Elephas maximus indicus: one gene and its partner. The protein of the gene in region 2 interacts with the protein of the main gene of each other region in a pairwise test. Links are inferred from orthologs where the notes say so. Each region holds a gene or a part of one and is shown on either strand. Other genes may lie near its edges.

Region 1 (10,523 bases), on a different chromosome or scaffold from region 2:
GTAGCCAAAAACCTGGACTAACACAATCTCCAAAAAGATAAAAATCCATCGAAAGTGCCGCTCCACTCTAGAACACTGCGAGGGGGTTTCTGGGTCAAAACACTAACAATATCAAAGGAAAAAAAAAACCCAGGTAAAGCCAAGAGAGTGGGAGAGCCCGATCCCACCCTCTGACCTGGCCAAGGCCCCTGAGGAGGTAGCAAGGCTGACGCCCAGAGTTACCTCACTGCACAGGGCTCTCCTGGAGCTCGCCATCCCGCCCCGCTGTACCTGGCTGCTGGAAACGCCAAGGGAGATGATGGCAAGACCTCCTCCCACAGCCACCAATGATCAGGATGACCGAGACACTGAACAGGCCCACAGCACCGACTGCCGTCTTTTGAGAAATGTTGCCAAAATCAAGAAAGGCTTTTCTCAAAGCCCCAAGGCTGACAACGTGCACAGAAGGCCACGGGAAATCCACCATTGGTACAGACACAATAGGACACCAGAGGCACCCCAGTTTGGGCCCTGCCAGGGTGATTGCCTTCCCAGGGCTCTGAGAGGCTGGCATCTAGGCTGCCTGAGGGCCCCAGACCCCAAGAGGGAGGCTTGTGCCAGGCGGAGTCCCTGCATCCTCCCACCATGGCTTGGAGCACAACCAAAGCCCCATGTGGTCACACAGGCAGCCTCCTCAGGAGGAAGCATGCAAAGGCCTGCCACTGCCCTGGCCACTGTGGTCCTGCTGCCTGCAGGCACACAGCCAAATGCCCTCACTCATCACAGCAGCTGAAGAAGACCCCCGGAAACAGTCACCAGGAGATGAGCCCACAAAGACTACACCATAATCCTCTCCTACTCCATAAAAGACAGAGAGACTCCATACCAGGTCCAAATGCACACAGCAGGGTCAGGGCAGAGAGCCGACGTACCCCTTACGAAGAGGGCCTCAGGCCACCAGCCTGGCCACTGGCACCACCCCGTGAGGACCCACCTCTGCTTGCTGGAAAGCTCCTCGGCCTTGGGTCGCCAGCCCCAGGGCACCAGCTGCAGGTTGTCCAGCCGGTTGTCCACAGTCACAGCATTGAGATGCACCACCTGGAAGCCGGGGGCAACACCACCCCTGTGCCGCTCCCTAGGGACAGAAATGCTCAAGAGTGGCCCACCAGACCCTCACAAACATGGGTTTTTACGTGCACGTGATAAAAATACATATAAAACACTTGCGGTTTTAACATTTTTACATGTATAATTCGGTGACATCGTTATCTTTGTCGTGTTGTGTTGCCATCATCACCATGTTCCAGATTTCCCATCAGTGATGTTATCAAGTCCACTGTGCCGTGTGGCCATCACCACCAAGTTCCAAGTTTTCCATCACTCTTAACAAAAACCCAGTGCCCTCTAAGCAGTGACCACCACCCCCCCGCTCCTCCCCCTTCTCTTGCCACTAATAAGTTTTACTTTATGTTGGTCTATTCTAGACGTTTCATGTAAAAGATGGTATAACATTTATGCTTTTGTGACTAACTTTTCTCGTCACGATATTTTCAAGGTTCTACTGTGTCGTAGTATATATCTCTTTATAACCAATAACATTGCATCCTGTTAGTATACCTCACAAATATTTTTGGTTAAATGTGAAGGCACAACCAGAAAGAAAAACAAGCCACAGGATCTGAAATGGCCCTTAAAATCCCAATGGGCAAGTTCCGGGGCAGGACTGGGCCAGAGGAAGCCCAGTATGGGAGTTAGAAACAGACAGAACAGAGTCCCTACCCTTGGCAATTCAGTTCCTGGACTGAAAAACCAAACAAGGAGGGACCCCCCAAGGGATCTTGCTGCACACACCCAGGTGAGACAGCCCCCACCCCATGCCTGCCCCGTCAGAGCCCAGGGCAGCAAGTTCCCTGGCAACTGGGAGACTTTCAAGATAGGTACTAAGTAACATAAGATGAAAATTAGTCACTCCTTCAGGTTAGTGGAAAGGACGCTCAGAGGTGGCGAGGCAGATCCAGCCCAAGGGAACCATCTGCTCACCACCTCTGTGCCCCGTGCCCACAAAGCCCAAGGCGGGGGATAAGGGAAGCCCACTGTACTTGCGGCCGCCGCCACGGCCACTGCTGTAAATACCCACCACAGCAGCTCATGCAGCAGCCGTCCAGAGCCCCGTCCTCGATTCTTGTCAAAGGCATAAGCGAATATCTTAGCACCATTTCCATCTGCATCTACTTCCATCCGAGCCTAAGAAGGAACAAGGGAAGGTCAGTTAACACATTTCTGATTCTCACCAACATTTCAAACTCTTCCTAGAAACAAAGTGAAACAGACAAGCCGGAGGAACAAATGCCAGCACCAGCCTAGGTCCAAGTGCCTGTTGGGACGTGCCATCGTGTCCTGAGAGGTTTCCCAACCAGGAGCACAGGCACCACACCACATCCTGACAATTGTGCTCTCTCCCCTCTGGCAAATGCTCACAATTGTGCTCTCTCCGCTCTGGCAAATACTCACAATTGTGCTCTCTCCGCTCTGGCAAATGCTCACAACAAAGCACTGTGGACAGAAGTGTGATCAGAGCTGTCCCTACCCTTAGAAAAGCCCCCAGCCAGGGGGCAAAATAAGCCCTTGAACAAACAACCACAGTGAGAAGGGTTAGGGACCCAGAAGAAAACGCAGAGCAGCAACAAACTCCTAGGAGTTTTCCAAGAAAAGGGGATATTAGATGAAGATCAGAGGCATGGACAAGAGTCCAACGGGTAGAAGACGATGAGAAAGAGGCGAGAAGGCCACACCTAGGCCCAGGGCAGCAGGGACGTGGAGCGATCGGAGGGGGGAGGCCTTCCGGCTGATGGGGGTAGGCAGGACCAAGGCGGGAGACCAGCAAGCGTTTCTAAGGATTAACAGCTTCAACAGGTTTGACAAAGACATTTAGTCAAAGTCGACAGAATCTGGTCTGTTTTTGGGGAACAGAGCTGGCAGGCAGAATGGATGCAGGGAAAGGTCAGTGTTTCTGGCCAGCGGGAGCTGCAGGGAGAGTCCACTGTGAACCCCAGCAGCAGTGACCGTCAGACTACTGTGACACCGTGGTTTGGATGTGGTGGCCCCAAGTGGTCCACAGCCAGCACCAGCTACTCAGGACAAGATTCCACGCTTACAGCGCAGGACGACACGTTCTCAAGACCACCATCAGCCCCAACCTGGCCCGCAGAGAACGCCATCCTTACCTCGAAGGAGTAGCTCTCCACCAGGGGGATATCTTGTTCATCGATCAGCGTGTACTTGGTCTGGAAATTAACAAATGTGTAACATTTTTATATTTGGGACGAACTAATGGCACCCTGAAATTATAAACTGTAATAGGCAGCCGTGAGGTATGCTAGCTGAGAAGTCAGGACAGGTCAGCAAGCGAGCCTCTCAGTCCACTCTCGGTGGATGCATTTCCACTTTGGCATCAGAGAGACAAGTAACAAGGTTTGAACCTCCATCCACATAAGACTCACTGTAAGAACAACACTGAGCCAGACCACCTGCCAAAGTCTCTGTAACAGCTCCTTAAATCTAGTTACTAAGGTAGAAAGATCGGCCTTGATTGAGAAAGAACACCCAGGAGGCTCCAATTAGCATTTATTAAGTTGAGTGAAGTTTACAGCTGCTCCCTGATTCATTCTCTTTAGCTTTTTCTGCCTTAAGTGTTCCAGACAAAAATCTTAAGTGATGGCATTAATGCATCCAACTACTATGTCAGAAAGAGTCTCCGGGCAACTGGGACGGAGCAGCCCTTCCCTGGTCAGAAAGCGCATCCCAAGGGCCTTTGCCCGCGCTCCTGAGGAAGGACAGGAACTGCCCCTAATCTTCTCTCACTGCTGGTACCGGCGGAGACAATTCCCAGCCCACTGGACTTCACCTTCGTCTGCCTCCGCTCCTGTCTCCCACCACAAGCCTCAGCCACTGGGAGCAGGCACCAGGTTCCCCTTGGGGAGCGGTGGGTGCAGCGGGACAGCCAGCCCCTGGAAACAGCCAAGCTCACGGGTGCCCGAGGCCCCGGCCTCAAACGCTGGAGGGCGAGGACCAGAAAGAGGAGTGAGTGGACCCTCAGCCTCGCCGCACAGGACCCTGCCCTGATGGGCCCACTGGTGGCCACCCTCGGCCAGCCCCTGGCGGCCTCACCGCGCCGGCGCTCCACTAGGGCTGGCTGCGCTCTCTGCCACCGGCCCCCGCGGGGCCGCCTCAACAGACAGAGCCAGGAGCACCGGACAGGTCTGCGCGCACGCGGGGCGCCGCCAGCGCACCCCGACACCGGCTAGGCCCCGGCCCCTAAGCACCCCTCGGAGGTGCCGCAGGTGAGCGCGGCCGGGCGCGGGAGCCCCCCGGGCGGTACAGGAGCGCGGCCTCCGTCCCGGGGCCTCCAACCCGAGGCGGGAGCGGCCCGCCGCGCACTTAGCCGGCCCGGGCCCGCAGGAGGGGTGCGCTCCGGGCCGCGGCCGGCCTGTGCAGGGAGGCGCGCCGCGGGGCCCGGCCCACCCGCCGCCGCAACCGCCCGCCGCCGCAACCGCCCGCCGCGCCCGCCCGGCCCGCGCCGCTCACCTTGCCGGCCACCCGGCCGAGCCGCACGATGCCCAGCTTGAAGTCGGTCATGGCCGGGCCTGCGCGCTCGCCGGCGCGCCGCTCCCCCGGGAGGCGCCGGGTTGAGGCCGGGCGGCGAGGCCGCGGCGGACCGGGCGGGTCCAGGCGGCCCGGGCGGACAGGCTGGGCCGGGCTCGGGCCGCGCCGCCTCGCGCCCGCCGGACCTGCCACGCGCCGCCGCCGCCGCCGCCACCGCCGCGCGCACCGCCGCGAGTGGAGCAGCAGAGGGCGGGGCGCGGCCGCGAACACACCCCCGGCCCGCGCCCGCCAGCCAATCGCGAGCCGCGCACCGCGCCGGCCGGCGCGCGCCGACGCTCAGCGACCAATGGGAGGACAGCGGGCGCGCAGGCGCAATGCGGAGCCAAGCAAGCGCGGGGGAGGGGCGGGGCGAAGGGGCGGTGCTTGCGCGGCGGGCGTGCGCCTACGTCAGTTTCGCGGGAAGCTTTGTGCTCCGCGGAGCCTGGCGGTCCGTCCCCACCCCCCGGTCCGGCCCGTGGCCTCTCAGTCCCGGCCCCCGGCCCCCGCCCCTCGTCCGGCCCGTGGCCTTTCGGTCCCGCCCCCGCCCCCCGTCCCCCGTCCCCCGTCCCAGGCCCGTGGCCTCTCTGTCGAGGCTTCCACCCCCCCCGTGCCGCCTGTGGCCTCTCGGTCCCGGCCCCACCCCCCGCCCCAGGCCCGTGGCCTCTCGGTCCCTGCCCCCGCCCCCCCCGTGCCACCCGTGGCCTCTCGGTCCCGGCCCCCACGACCCCCGTTGCCGCCCGTGGCCTCTCGGTCCCGCCCCCGCCCCCTGTCCCAGGCCCGTGGCCTCTCGGTCCCTGCCCCCACTCCCCCGGTGCCGCCCGTGGCCTCTCGGTCCCTGCCCTCGCCCCCCCCGTGCCGCCCGTGGCCTCTCGGTCCCTGCCCCCACTCCCCCGGTGCCGCCCGTGGCCTCTCGGTCCCTGCCCTCGCCCCCCCCGTGCCGCCCGTGGCCTCTCGGTCCCTGCCCCCACTCCCCCGGTGCCGCCCGTGTCCTCTCGGTCCCTGCCCCCACTCCCGGTGCCGCCCGTGTCCTCTCGGTCCCTGCCCCCACTCCCCCGGTGCCGCCCGTGGCCTCTCGGTCCCTGCCCCCACTCCCGGTGCCGCCCGTGTCCTCTCGGTCCCTGCCCCCACTCCCGGTGCCGCCCGTGTCCTCTCGGTCCCTGCCCCCACTCCCCCGGTGCCGCCCGTGGCCTCTCGGTCCCTGCCCCCACTCCCCCGGTGCCGCCCGTGGCCTCTCGGTCCCTGCCCCCACTCCCGGTGCCGCCCGTGTCCTCTCGGTCCCTGCCCCCACTCCCCCGGTGCCGCCCGTGGCCTCTCGGTCCCTGCCCTCGCCCCCCCCGTGCCGCCCGTGGCCTCTCGGTCCCTGCCCCCATTCCCCGGTGCCGCCCGTGGCCTCTCGGTCCCTGCCCTCGCCCCCCCCGTGCCGCCCGTGGCCTCTCGGTCCCTGCCCCCACTCCCCCGGTGCCGCCCGTGGCCTCTCGGTCCCTGCCCTCGCCCCCCCCCGTGCCGCCCGTGGCCTCTCGGTCCCTGCCCCCACTCCCCCGGTGCCGCCCGTGGCCTCTCGGTCCGTGCCCTCGCCCCCCCCCGTGCCGCCTGTGGCCTCTCGGTCCCGGCCCCCACGACCCCCGTAGCCTCCCGTGGCCTCTCGGTCCCGCCCCCGCCCCCTGTCCCAGGCCCGTGGCCTCTCGGTCCCTGCCCCCACTCCCCCGGTGCCGCCCGTGGCCTCTCGGTCCCTGCCCTCGCCCCCCCCGTGCCGCCCGTGGCCTCTCGGTCCCTGCCCCCACTCCCCCGGTGCCGCCCGTGGCCTCTCGGTCCCTGCCCTCGCCCCCCCCGTGCCGCCCGTGGCCTCTCGGTCCCTGCCCCCACTCCCCCGGTGCCGCCCGTGGCCTCTCGGTCCCTGCCCCCACTCCCGGTGCCGCCCGTGTCCTCTCGGTCCCTGCCCCCACTCCCCCGGTGCCGCCCGTGGCCTCTCGGTCCCTGCCTTCGCCCCCCCCGTGCCGCCCGTGGCCTCTCGGTCCCTGCCCCCACTCCCCCGGTGCCGCCCGTGGCCTCTCGGTCCCTGCCCCCACTCCCGGTGCCGCCCGTGTCCTCTCGGTCCCTGCCCCCACTCCCCCGGTGCCGCCCGTGGCCTCTCGGTCCCTGCCCTCGCCCCCCCCGTGCCGCCTGTGGCCTCTCGGTCCCTGCCCCCACTCCCGGTGCCGCCCGTGTCCTCTCGGTCCCTGCCCCCACTCCCCCGGTGCCGCCCGTGGCCTCTCGGTCCCTGCCCTCGCCCCCCCCGTGCCGCCCGTGGCCTCTCGGTCCCTGCCCCCACTCCCCCGGTGCCGCCCGTGGCCTCTCGGTCCCTGCCCCCACTCCCGGTGCCGCCCGTGTCCTCTCGGTCCCTGCCCCCACTCCCCCGGTGCCGCCCGTGGCCTCTCGGTCCCTGCCCTCGCCCCCCCCGTGCCGCCCGTGGCCTCTCGGTCCCTGCCCCCACTCCCCCGGTGCCGCCCGTGGCCTCTCGGTCCCTGCCCCCACTCCCGGTGCCGCCCGTGTCCTCTCGGTCCCTGCCCCCACTCCCCCGGTGCCGCCCGTGGCCTCTCGGTCCCTGCCCTCGCCCCCCCCGTGCCGCCCGTGGCCTCTCGGTCCCTGCCCCCACTCCCGGTGCCGCCCGTGTCCTCTCGGTCCCTGCCCCCACTCCCCCGGTGCCGCCCGTGGCCTCTCGGTCCCTGCCCTCGCCCCCCCCGTGCCGCTCGTGGCCTCTCGGTCCCTGCCCCCACTCCCCCGGTGCCGCCCGTGGCCTCTCGGTCCCTGCCCCCACTCCCCCGGTGCCACCCGTGGCCTCTCGGTCCCTGCCCTCGCCCCCCCCGTGCCGCCCGTGGCCTCTCGGTCCCTGCCCCCACTCCCGGTGCCGCCCGTGTCCTCTCGGTCCCGCCCCCGCCCCCCGCCCCCCGCCCCCCGTCCCCCGTCCCAGGCCCGTGGCCTCTCTGTCGAGGCTTCCACCCCCCCCCGTGCCGCCCGTGGCCTCTCGGTCCCGCCCCCGCCCCCTGTCCCAGGCCCGTGGCCTCTCGGTCCCTGCCCTCGCCCCCCCCGTGCCGCCCGTGGCCTCTCGGTCCCGCCCCCGCCCCCTGTCCCAGGCCCGTGGCCTCTCGGTCCCTGCCCCCATTCCCCACGTGCCTCCCGTGGCCTCTCGGTCCCTGCCCCCATTCCCCCGGTGCCGCCCGTGGCCTCTCGGTCCCTGCCCTCGCTCCCCCACGTGCCTCCCGTGGCCTCTCGGTCCCTGCCCTCGCCCCCTCGCCCCGTGGCGCCCGTGGCTTTTCGGTCCGGCCCCGCCCCGCTGTCCGCCTCGCCCCTTCCCCGACCACAGGCCCTTGATTCTGACGCCCGGCCGGTCCCCTCCTCCCCGCCCGTGTCTCCCCGGCCCACCGACCCTAGGCCGAGGCCAACCCTTCCTCATGGCAACCCTGGTCCTCAAGCAACAGTGGCTCCGGGCATTCCAAGAGACCCTGCGGTCTGGGTCTCCGGGTTTGCCGGGCCCACGGGGCTCTCAGAGGTGGGCCGCAGTCTTTGTTACCCGTTCTTCCACCAAGTCCAGAAGGGAGAGGGGTAAAGAGCAGAGCCTGCTGCTGCTGCTGCTGCTGCTGCTGCAGGGACGGCGAGCCCCAAGGCCAGGCCCGGCTAGGGGTGTGAGTGGGCCCGGGTCCCGGAGCTCCAGGGGGATCTTGAGCAGGGCAGGATCAGGCTACCCTCGGGCCGATGGCTAGGGTAGTCTTTGGATGTGGGGAGGACTGGAGCGAGGGGGCCACGCTCCAGGATCTTGGCCAGATGCTGGTGCTGGGGACAGGTCCTGCAAAGACTGCTTAAGCCCCCTGCCCACCTGAGGGGGGTTGCTTGCTGGCTGGGGCAGTGAGTGTCTTCCTGTCCTTCAGGACACTTGCACGCTCCACTTCTCATGGTCTTGGTAGATACCCAGTTAGAGTAGTGGGGCAGGGTGCCACCAGGGCCTGGGGCTTCTCCATGCAGCCCACCTTCAAGCCACACCAGCCTTTTGTGAGAGCCAGCCTTCCTCTGTGAGCTGGGGCAGGAAGGGTCCTAGGCCCAAGTCTTTCCCGAAACAGGAACTTCAGAGAATTCCATTCTGGCCTCTTAGGTCTCTGGGAAGAAGGGCCCACCAGGGAGGGGCCAAGGGCCTGGTGGGCATCTGTCAGGGTTGGGGGCGAGGCCTAGACCCACCTCTGCTTGGGGCATATCCCTGCCTTCCTGGGGGAGAGGAAAGGCTGTTGGTCCTGGTTGTGTGGAGATGAGGCATCTGGGTTCAAGGCTGGTCCTTACTCATCGGGACACCCTGTCCTACCAACCTCCCAGAATCCTGAAGGTGCATGAATTCTGAGAAAGTGCCCTGGGATGAAGCACCTCAAGCACGAGAGCTGGGTGCGGCTCTTGGAGGACAGCCAAGGGACACTGGTACCTTGGTTTAGGCTTGACTTGAAACAGGGATTTTAGTGCAAGTTGTTTGTTTGGGAGGAGGTCCCAGAAAGCACTGGAAGGGGAGTGGGAACGGGAAGCAGGAAAGAGAAGAACAGGAACCCGTAAAAGGTGTTGCTAAAGCCAGCGGAGCTCTTCCCGGTACACTCTGGAAGTCAGTATGGGACACAGAGGGGCACCTACTCCCCTGCTCTGCTGGGTCCTTGGTTGGGGCTGGTCCTGGGGAAGGTCTGTCCCTGTCATATCTAGCCTGCTTGGCAGAGCTGGCTCCCACAGCCACAGCTGAAGGGAGAGAACTTTCAGGTGATGGAGATGAAAATGGCAGGTGTAAGGTGCTGTGAGCAGGGCCCAGATGGTGGAGGGCATGTGCCTGGACTGCTCTGGGCAAGTCACTTGGTCTCTGGGTCTCAATGCAGCCCCCAAGTATAAAGAACATGCCAATGCATGGCTTCAGTGTGTGTGCGGGTGAAATGAGACAGCACCCATTCCTCTGTCAGGTACCCATTAAAAGGAAAACTCTCCCCTACACCCCCCTCGAGCCACTGTCTCCTGTGCCTTTTCTCCTAGCATATTCATTTTCTATGCCTTTTTAACAATCTACCACAAATGAAGCGTATTAAATCCATGATCTCACCATTCCGTGGGTCCAAAGTGGGTTTCTCTACTGCAGGTGCTGGCGGTCTGGGCCGCCACTGGGGAGGCTCTGGAACAGGCTGCTCCCAGGATCACTCAGGTGGCCAGCAAATCGGCCCTTCTCAGCCTCTGGAGGCCACCTGCATTTCCCTCATCTTCAAAGCCAGCAATGGCAGGAGGAGCCTTTCTCAGCTTCAGATTCTCCTTCCTTCAGCTGGAGAAAGGTCTCTGCTTTTAAGAGCTCGTGTGAGTCCATTGTCCCTGATCAATAACCCAGGATAACCCCCATTGTAAGGTCACTGATCGGTGACCTTAATTACATCTGCCATGAAACACCAAGTTCCTGCAGTGAGGGTGCTATACCTTTGGGGGCCACTCTGCCGACCACACCATCTCTGGGTCATCTGCTCCACATGATGGCCCTCGTCAAGGCCCAAGGCCCAAGGACCTTTGTCATCACTGGGCACCCACTCTGTTATCCAGGTCCTGGAGGAGGCATGGGGGACTTAAACCAGCTCACACACCAGTGAGAGAGACAGAAATACACCTCTAGTGAAAGACACAGCATGTTAGGAAGGAAAGGAAGGAGCTCAGATAAAGAAGTGGGGGTGCCAGTGTGAAGCCCTGGGCAGAGCCTCACTGGGAAAACTGCTTTTGAGCAAACAGTGGGAGGAGTGGATGAGCTACACGGATGGTTAGGGTAGGAACATTCCTAGCACGGGGAACAGCCAGTGTGAAGGCCCTGAGCTGGGGACATGTGAGTGAGGCAGGTTTGAGGGACTGGAGTGGACAGCGGAGAGACAGCAGGGGTA
Region 2 (10,232 bases):
TCAAAGATAGAAAACATTTCCATCACCCTTGTTGGTGGAATAGGTGCCCTCATGCCCCTTCCTGGTCAATACGTATTCCTCCTCACAGCACGTACCACTATTCTGATTTTTACCTCCCTAGTTTAGTTTTGCCCATAGAATTCTTCAATGTTGCAACTCCAGGCTTGAATTTTTTTCTTCAGTCCTTTCAGCTTGAGAAATACCAAGTGTGTTCTTTCCATTTTGGTTTTCTAACTCCAGGTCTCTGCACATTTCGTTATATTACTTTACCACGTCTTCTTCAGCCACCCTTTGAAATCTTCTGCTCAGCTCTTTGACTTCATCATTTCTTACATTTGCTTTAGCTACTCCACATTCAAGAGCACTGACGGAATACCAAGTGTGAGATGTTTAAACAAATGGATGCAATGCTGGAAGCACTCACTCGTCTACATCAAGGAATTTGGAAGACAGCTATCTGGCCAACCAACCAGAAGAGATTCATGTTCCATTCCAAAGAAAGGTGATTCAACAGAATGCAGAAATTTTCGAATATCATTAATATCACATGCAAGTAAAATTTTGATGAAGATAATTCAAAAATGGCTGCAGCCGTACAACAGGGAACTGCCAGAAATTCAAGCCAGATTCAGAAGAGGAATGAGGGATATCATTGTTGATATCAGATGGATCTTGGCTGAAAGCAGAGAATATCAGATGTTTACCTGTGTTTTACTGATTACACAAAGGCATTTGACTGTGTAGATCTTAACAAATTACAGATAACATTACAGAGGATGGGAATTCCAAAACACTTAATTGTGCTCATGCAGAACCTGTACATAGACCAAGAAACAGTCTTGTTCAAACAGAATGAGTGGATACTGCATTGTTTAAAATCAGGGAAGGTGTGTGTCAGGGCTATATCCTTTCACTATACTTACTCAATCGATATGCTGAGCAAATAATCCGAGAAGCTGGACTATATGAAGAACATGGCAAGAGGATCAGACAAAGACTCATTAACAACCCCCGTTATGCAGATGACACAACCTTGTTTGCTGAAAGCAAAGAGAACTTGAAGAACTTACTGATGAAGATCAAAGACTACAGCCTTCAACACCTCAACATAAAGAAAACAAAAACACTCACAACTGGACCATTAAATAACTTCATAATAGATGGAGAAAATATTGAAGTTATCGACTTCATTCTACTTAGATCCACCATCAAAGCCCATGAGAACAGCAATCAAGAAATCAAACGACATATTGCATTGGGTAAATCCACTGCAAAAGACCTCTTTAAAGTTAAAAAGCAAAGATGTCACTTTGAGGACTAAGGTGTGCCCAACCCAAGCCATGATATTTTCAATTGTCTTATATGCAAAAGCTGGACAATGAATAAGGAAGACTGAAGAAGAATTGATGCTTTTGAATTATGGTGCTGGCAAAAAATATTAAATATACCATGGACCGCCAGAACAAACAAGTTTATCCTGGAAGAAGTACAGCCAGAATGCTCATTAGACGCGAGGATGGTGAGGCTTCGTTTCACGTACTTTGGACATGTTAGCAGGAGGGACTAGTCCCTGGAGAAAGACATCATGCTTTGTAGAGGATCAGCAAAAAAGAGGAAGACCCTCAACGAACGGGAGTGACACAGTGGCGGCAACAATTGGTTCAAACATAGCAACCACTGTGAGGGCAGTGCAGGACCAGGTAGTGTTTCATTCTGTTGTACACAGGGTCGATGTATCAGAACTGACTCAACAGCACCTAATGAAAAGTTTAATTTTTGCCTATCCTTACCTTCACAAAAAAAATGAACTCATACAGTGTATACTCTTGTATCTGCCTTCTTTCAGTCAAAAATATATTTTTGAGATCATCCAAGTTATTGTAGTATTTATTAGTAGTTCATTCTTTCTTTATTGTTATGTAGTATTCCTTTCACAAATGTGCCACAGTTTACTTATCCGTTCTTCAGTTGATACCTGGGTTGGTTCCAATGTTTAGCTATTATGAGTAAAGTTGCTGTGAACATTCTTACATATGTTTAGTGAACATATGCACTCATTTCTCTTGAGTATGTATCAACGAGTGGAACTGATGGGTCACAGTGTAGGCATAAGCTTATCTTTAGTATATGCTGCCAGTTTTCCTAAGTGGTTGAATCAATTTATACTCTCAGCAGCAATGAATGAGGTTATCTACATCCTTGCAAACTCTTGGGAATTGTCAGTCTTTTTAATTTTAACCTTCTAGCAGGTTTTTTTTTTTTTTTTAGCAGGTAGGCAATAGTTTCTAATTATGATTTTAATTTGCATTTCCCTGATAAGTGATGATGACACTTTTTTATATGCCTAATAGCAACATGGATATCATCTTTTGTGAAGTACCTGCTCAAATTTTTTGCCTATTTCTAAATTCAGTTCTTTTACTCTGCAGAATTACTTGATGTACTCTGAATATTAATCAGATATATATGTATTGTAAACATCTTCTCCCAATCTATGGAGTTCCTATTTACTTTCTTAATGATGTCTTTTAACAAAAAAAGTTCCTTATTTCAATGAAGTCCAATTTCTCTGTGTTTTCTTTTATGGTTAATGCCCTTTGTAGATGTCTATCCTTTTCTTATAAGAAAACTCTAAAAAAAATTTTTTTAAAAATTACCTTTGCTTATCTCTAAACTATATTTGGGGTGGCTCACAGTAAGATCAGATACAACAAAAGCCACAAACCCATTAAAAGTTAGCAATGACAGAAGTCCTAGGCTACAGGAAGCTACTGAACTTGAGTCTAAAATTTAGTTATGAGTTTCTTGACAAAAATGTTCTATTTTTTTCTTAAAGTCATCAAAAAAGATCAGCCTTAAACCTGAAGAGTTTCTTGAAGTTATAAAAAGGCGCCACTTCTTATGTAGTTACAAGTTCATAAAAGGGGCAAAGGATTAAGAATCATGGGTAAATTTGAAAGCTACTTATATTTAGTTTTGAAATGTACTTTCACGTGGATGAGGCTAATGTGAAATTTATAACATTCCAAAAACTGAAATTCAATGGTGGAGTAATAAATGATAATACCAATAAAGAAGTTAAAAAAAAAAAAAAAGACTAGCAACTGCTCCTTGTCAACCTTATTCTCATCCATGAGAATTTTAGGATTTATTGTAGGATAAGCCCGTTCAACAGCAATTGAGAATCCTTGGTACAAAAACAGATGCAAATTGTTCACTCTACTCATGGAAAAAATAATACTCAAAAGACAGTAGAAAGATGAAGACTTCACACTTTCTCAAAGACTGAAAAATGTATTTTGTATGTTCCACCTTTCTGTTTTGCCTTGTCTAAACAAGTGATACAAATCTGTATTCTGACAATATTCCACAAATACTAAAGGACCTTACCATAACAATTACTTCTACTTCACAACATCATAAACTATTATTATAGCCACGTGATAGCTAGGGAAACTGTGACATACAAAGAGGAAGCAACCTGCCGAAACTCTGAGTCACTGGCAAGCAAGAAGACATGTTCTACTCAACTCTCTTCATGTTCTCTGGCAACTATTTCTTTTCCTCTTGTCATTAGCAAAACATGCTGGCACCATGTATGTAAACATACCTACTAATTTTTTAACTTTTTACATTTCCTGAGTAGGAAATGTAAATGGAAAAAGATCCCTTAAACAGTGTTCCTTTCAAGAATGAGCACATATCCACACTTAACCCCTGCTAGGTAAGCTCCTCCCCTCATCCCAATTTCTTTAGCTAAAAATTTTCAAGCCCAACAAAATGAGACAGTTCCTCGCAGTCTTCCAATCCAGAATCAATCTTCTCCTTAAACAGATAATCTCTTTCCAACGTTCTGCTTTTCTAATGACAGCAGTTGCCCGGACCCACCCCACACAGTCCTCACAGGCTCCAGAAGCAGCTGCCACTTTTCTCTAAACACCAATCGCGGCCCCGGTTCCCAGCCCCCGGCCCCCGGCTTCCGCGCTCCCCGCCCCACCAACCTACCCCCACCCCCGCCCGCTGCCTCAGGCCCTCCCCCCGCAGCGTCGGCAGCTCTTGCTCACCTCGGCCCCTGACAGGAAGGGGTGCGAGGGCCCTGTGATCGTCAGGTAATTGTCATTTCCTCCGGGAAACTGGAAACCAAAAGAAAGCCGCGGGGATAAGTTAGCGGGAGCAGGGAGGAGCTTGGAGCGACGTATTCTGACCCCGACCTTCTGACAACACTCCCCAAACCCGGCTGTCTCTCTCCTCCCCCGTCAGCCGCCTCTCCGCCCGGCCTCTCGCCTCTGCTTCAACCCCGTCGGCCGCGTTCTCTCGCCAGCCTTCTTAGCGCTCGGGTTCCTACCTCCATCTTCACACAACAGCTACCACCGCCTTACTCCCCTCATTGCTCCCACCGCCCCTACTGGACTCGGAACTTACGTCACTTCCGTAAGGATGTGCGTCACTCTTTGCGGCAGCCAGTCAGGCCTAGCAAGGCCGAGCGTACGGAGAGGCTAACGCTCGCCCCCTGGAGCTAGGTGGAGTAATGGCATGTGGAGGTGCTAGAGGCGTCTTTGGAGGCGGCGTTGGAGTGTTTCCGCCGCTCCGGATCGAGAGAGGTTTTCTGAAGAGAACAGGAATCAGGCCACTTTTGGAAAACTGAAAGTGATTTAATATGGCTGGAGCATGGAGTTCGAAGCGTGGCAAGAAGTAAAGCTAGAGAAAAAATTAGGTACCAAGTTTTAAAACACCGGAAGGCCCGTTGCTGTCGAGTCCATTCCGACTCAGCGACCCTATAGGACAGAGTAGGACTGCCCATAGCGTTTCAAGGAGCGGGATCGTGGATTCGAACTGCCGACCTTTATGCTTAGCACTTAACCACTCTGCCAGCAAGGCTCACCTGAAGGAAATGTTGAGCAAATGACAAGTTTTAAAACCGAGAAGTGTAGTGATCAATCAAGTTTTCCCCAGAGTCCGACAGAGGACATGTTTCTTTCAGAATTCTGTTCTCTGTACCAAGAGAATACGACAGCTGGATAGAAAATATGACAGTTGGATAGAAAATCTATACAAATTGTAGAGTCTTTGAGTGCATAACTAGAGGAAACTGCATAAAGGGAGACAAAAGCTTTATTTTCAATTCTAACCTGTTGAAATTCTATTCCTACTCTAGGGGGAAAAAAGATTTAGCAACTTTTTTTCAGTAGCTACCACTCGATACTTCATGAAGCAATCTAGAATAGTACGAAGTGATTCTTGTATCTTCCTTAACTGCAGCACCTTAGAGTTGAGATATTTTGGATATCTCTGCGTACCTATGTGAGACACTGAACAAGTGTATATCAACCCTTTAGCATAAGCCGTATTAGTGCACTTTCTTGCAAATCAGAATTCCTCATGCTATGTGCAAAGTACTGTATGAAGATAGAAAGTAGGCCAAGTTGTCTGACTGTGGCCAAGAATTTTTCATGTAACTGACCTTCAGTTTTTAATTCTTGAGACAAGGTGAATGCCAGGTAAACCAAAAGACTTATTCAGACTGCCAATTTCCATACTCCTATTTTTTATTCAAGAGACTACTTTCCAATGAACTATGGGAGTTATTAAACATCCGAAGTATATCACTCTTGACAACCTAATTCTCAGATAGGCTTCTTTCTCAAACAAAAAGTTCTAGAGGTGCAAAATATATAGTTTCATGTAGGAGGACTAGAGAGTAACTCTAAAAACACATCAAGAAATATTTTCAAAATTTTTAGGTATTTTTTTGAAAAAGTTACAAAATTAACCAATGGAACAGAATTGAGAACCCAGATGTAAATCCATCCATCCATGGACAGCTGATCTTTAACAAAAGGCCAAAGTTCAGGAAATGGAGAAAAGATAGTCTCTTTAACAAATGGTATTGGCAAAACTGGATGTCCATTTGTAAAAAAAAAAAAAAAAAACATGAAGCAGGACCCATACCTCACACCACACAAAAACTCACTCAAAATGGATCAAAGAGTCAATTGGCAAAATAATTCTATTATGAAAACATTCTGCATCCCACTTTGAAATGTGGCTTCTGGGGTCTTAAAAGCTAACAAGCGGCCATCTAAGATGCATCAATTGGTCTCAACCCACCTGGAGTAAAGGAGAATGAAGAACACCAAGGTCACACGACAACTAAGAGCCCAAGAGACAGAAAGGGCCACATGAACCAGAGACCTACATTATCCTGAGACCGGAAGAACCAGTTGGTGCCCGGCCACAATCGATGACTGCCCTGACAGGGAGCACAATAGAGAACCCCTGAGGGAGCAGGAGATCAGTGGGATGCAGACCCCAAATTCTCATAAAAAGACCATACTTAATGGTCTGGATGTGACTAGAGGAATCCCGGCGGTCATGGTCCCCAAACCTTCTGTTGGCACAGAACGGGAACCATCCCCGAAGACAATTCATCAGACATGAAAGGGACTGGACAGTGGGTGGGAGAGAGATGCTGATGAAGAGTGAGCTAATTATATCAGGTGGACAGTTGGGACTGTGTTGGCATCTCCTGTCTGGAGGGGGGATCGGAGGATAGAGAGAGTTGGAGGCTGCCAAAGTTTTCACGAAAGGAGAGACTGGAAGGGCTGACTCATTAGGGGGAGAGCAAGTGGGAGTAAGGAGTAAGATGTATATTAACTTATATGTGACAGACTGACTTGATTTGTAAATGTTCACTTGAAGCTCAATAAAAGTTAATTTAAAAAAATGGATCAAAGATCTAAATATAAAACCTAAAACTATAAAGATCACGGAAGAAAAAATAGGGACAACACTAGGGGCCCTAATGTATGGCATTAATAGAATACCAAACATAACTAAAAATGCACAAGCAACAGAAGATGTGCTAGATAAATGGGACCTCCTAAAAATGAAACACTTATGCTTATCAAAAGACTTCTCCAAAAGAGTAAAAAGAGAACCTACAGATCAGGGAAAAAATTTTGGCTATGACATATCCGACAAGAGTCTAATCTCTAAAATTTATTTTAAAAAACTTCAACACCTTAACATCAAAAGGACAAACCAATTTAAAAAATGGGCAAAGGATATGAACAGATACTTCACCGAAGAACACATTCAGATGGCTAACAAACACATGAAGAAATGCTCTCCATCATTAGCCATTAGAGAGATGCAAATCAAAACTACAGCGAGATACCATCCCACCTCAACATTACCAGCACTAATCAAAAAAACAAAATAACAAATGTTGGAGAGGTTGTAGGAAGATTGGAAGTCTTATACACTGCTGGTGGGAATGTAAAATGGTACAACCACCATGCAAAATGATATGGCACTTCCTTAAAAAGCTAGAAATAAATAAAAAGTTCCAGATGTGCAAAAATATATATTGTTTCATGTAGGGGGACTACAGAGTGACTCCAAGAAGACATCAAAATTTTTAGATATTTTATGAAAAACTTAACAAAATTAACCAATGGAACAGAATTGACAACCCAGATTTAAATCCATCCACCTATGGACAGCTGATCTTTAACAAAAGGCCAAAGTTCATTAAACGGAGAAAAGATAGCCTCTTTAACAAATGGTGCTGGCAAAACTGTATGTCCATTTGTAAAAAAAAAAATTAAACAGGACCCATACATCACACCACAGAAAAACTGACCGGCAATCCCACTCTTAGGTATACACCCTAAAGAAATAACAGTCGTGACACAAATAGACATATGCACGCTTATATTCATTACAATATTATTCATAGTAGCAAAACGATGGAAACAACCTAAGTGCCCATCAACAGATGAATGAATTAACAAACTGTGGTACATCCATGCAGTAGAATACTATGCAACAATAAAGAATAATGACAAATCTGTGAAACATCTCACAACATAAATGAATTTGGAGGACATTATGCTGAGTGAGGCAACCCTGCTGGTGTAGTGGTTAAGAGCTACGGCTATTGGGCAAGGGGTCGGCAGTTCGAATCCACCAGGCAGCCTTGGAAACCCTGTGGGGCGGTCCTACTCTGTCCTATAGGGTCGCTGTCAGTCGGAATCCACCCAATGGCAAAAGGTTTGTTTTTTGGTTTTTATGCTCAGTGAAATAAGTCAATCACAAAAGGACAAATGTTGTATGAGATCACTATTATAAAGAAACAAGAAAGGTTTACACACGGGAAAAAAAATTCTCTGGTGGTTACCAGGAATGGGTGGGAAAGGGAGGGAAAATTACCAAAGAGATGGAAGACATGTCTTAATATTTGTGAAGGGAAAGGCAATACACAATATGGGGGAAGTCAGCAAAACATGACCAAGGCGTGGGAGGACACTGAGAGGAACAAAGGGCAACAACAGTGATTACTGTAGCATAGAAAATCCTGTTAAAATAGCATTAACAAACACTAATTTACAAATGGATACATAGGTAGATAGGTATGACAAGAGGTGTGGGAGGGCATAAGGGAACACATCCACCTGCAGAGATAGGTTTGGTGGTAGATATTTCTACATACATAACTGTAGATGCTGCTTATATAGACAGTAGAGCACACAAGGGCCACAGTCAGGGCAACTTCTTAGACATAACCAAACACCTCATGGGATGAAGCTCCTGGGTTCGAAGGCAAAGGATCATAGACTTAGGGGACATCTACACCAACTGGCACAACATAGTTAATAAAGACAAAGTTCTACATCCTACTTTGGTGCATAGCATCTGGGGTCTTAAAAGCTTGTGAGTGGCCATTTGACATACAGCTATTGGTCTCTTAATATCTGGAGCAAAGGAGAGTGACTAAAACCGAAGACTCAAGGGAGTAATTAAGCCAAAGGACTAATAGACCACATTAACCACAGACTACACGACCCTGAGATCAGAAGAACTAGATGGTGCCCAGCTACCATTTACCTACCACTCTACTGGTATCACAACAGAGGGTTCCACACAGAGCAGGAGAAAAATTGTAGAACAAAAAATCAAACTCACAAAATAAGACTAGACTTACTGGTCTGTCAGACACTGGAAGAATCCCTGAGACTACGGCCCTAAGTTACCCTTCTGAAACAGAACTGAAGACAATCATGGAGACCACCTTTCAGCCAAACCATAGACAGGCCCAAAGAATAAACAATAACACTTGAGAGGAATGTGTTCCCTAGAACAATCTATTATATTAGATTAAAAAGGCAACGTTTGCCCAAAAGCAAAGATAAGGAGGCATGAAGCAACAGCAATTCAAGAAGAAAGGAAACAAGAACCTAGGAGGGAAATGGGGAGAGTGCTGACACATTATGGAGAATTAAATCAATGTCACGCAACACTTGACATTGCACAATAAAAAATTGAAAAAAAAAATTACAAAATTAAATACTGCCTAATCAAATTTCGTTCTGTTGTACATAGGGACCCTATGAACCGACTCAACAGCACCTAACAACAATAACATTGATAGAAACTTATTCACCTTTACTTGACGTTTTAATTTATCTTATTCCCATGTCTGCTTTTTAGTTGCAATCCCGAGGTCATTATCACTTAGAAACCGCCCCCCCCATTTTTTTTAAAGAAAAATGAAGAAACTTCAAGGAACACAAATTATTTGGAGCAAACAGGCAACACTGCCGAGCTTATTAGCACTGAGTGCACATTAAGGATGAGCACCTCACTCAACACGGCTGTTGTTAACGAGAACCACATTCTTTCTCTTGGTCTTCACTGACAGGTGTAGAGTTTGGGGTCCTATGGACAGCACTGATGAAAAACAAACCAAACTGCAAATCTGGGAAACGGTGAGAGAGGACAAAGTAATTGAGGCCCTCACTAAGATCTGAACAGAACAGTGAAGGATGAGGCAGGGGAAAGGGCCGGGCTATGAGGGCGGGGCTCATTGTGGAGCTGAGAGCGGCAAAGTGCAAAATCAAGGAGATAGAGAACCTTTCGTTTTCATCTCTTACAGTTAAAATTAAGAATGCTGTATCTTCTGACCTTTATTTTAAAATACCGAATTAATATATGAGTTTCTTCCCGTACAAATAAAATTAAAAAATAGAAGTTTATGGAGTAAAAAGTGAATGTCTCCTTCCCACGCATAAACCCCTTTCTCTCTTCCAGTCTTGGCTACTTGCTCTACCGGAGGAAATCGTTTTTAAGGATTCAGTGCACATGTGTTCAGACTTTTTCTCTGCATTTAAATGTACAGAAATATATGGTAGTGGTTTTGTTTTAGTTTTTACATGTATAGAAACATGGCA

Evidence for each region. The genes of interacting proteins can lie anywhere in the genome.
Region 1: the proteins of TOX4 (region 2) and ZMYND19 interact in binary tests that used the Homo sapiens proteins (3 or more experiments, as listed by UniProt). The two-hybrid records come from large-scale screens. The link is inferred for Elephas maximus indicus from reciprocal best matches to the Homo sapiens genes TOX4 and ZMYND19.

What each region holds. Positions count from the first base shown.
Region 1 is NC_064827.1:674,979-685,501, reverse strand, and holds the start of ZMYND19 (zinc finger MYND domain-containing protein 19), read right to left. Parts: upstream 4,615-10,523; coding exon 4,564-4,614; intron 3,264-4,563; coding exon 3,204-3,263; intron 2,224-3,203; coding exon 2,117-2,223; intron 1,115-2,116; coding exon 974-1,114; intron 1-973. Other genes in the region: basic proline-rich protein-like, read left to right, coding at 4,613-8,203. UniProt on the Homo sapiens protein: May be involved as a regulatory molecule in GPR24/MCH-R1 signaling.
Region 2 is NC_064828.1:31,830,124-31,840,355, reverse strand, and holds the start of TOX4 (TOX high mobility group box family member 4), read right to left. Parts: upstream 4,417-10,232; 5' UTR 4,352-4,416; coding exon 4,346-4,351; intron 4,134-4,345; coding exon 4,065-4,133; intron 1-4,064. UniProt on the Homo sapiens protein: Transcription factor that modulates cell fate reprogramming from the somatic state to the pluripotent and neuronal fate. In liver, controls the expression of hormone-regulated gluconeogenic genes such as G6PC1 and PCK1.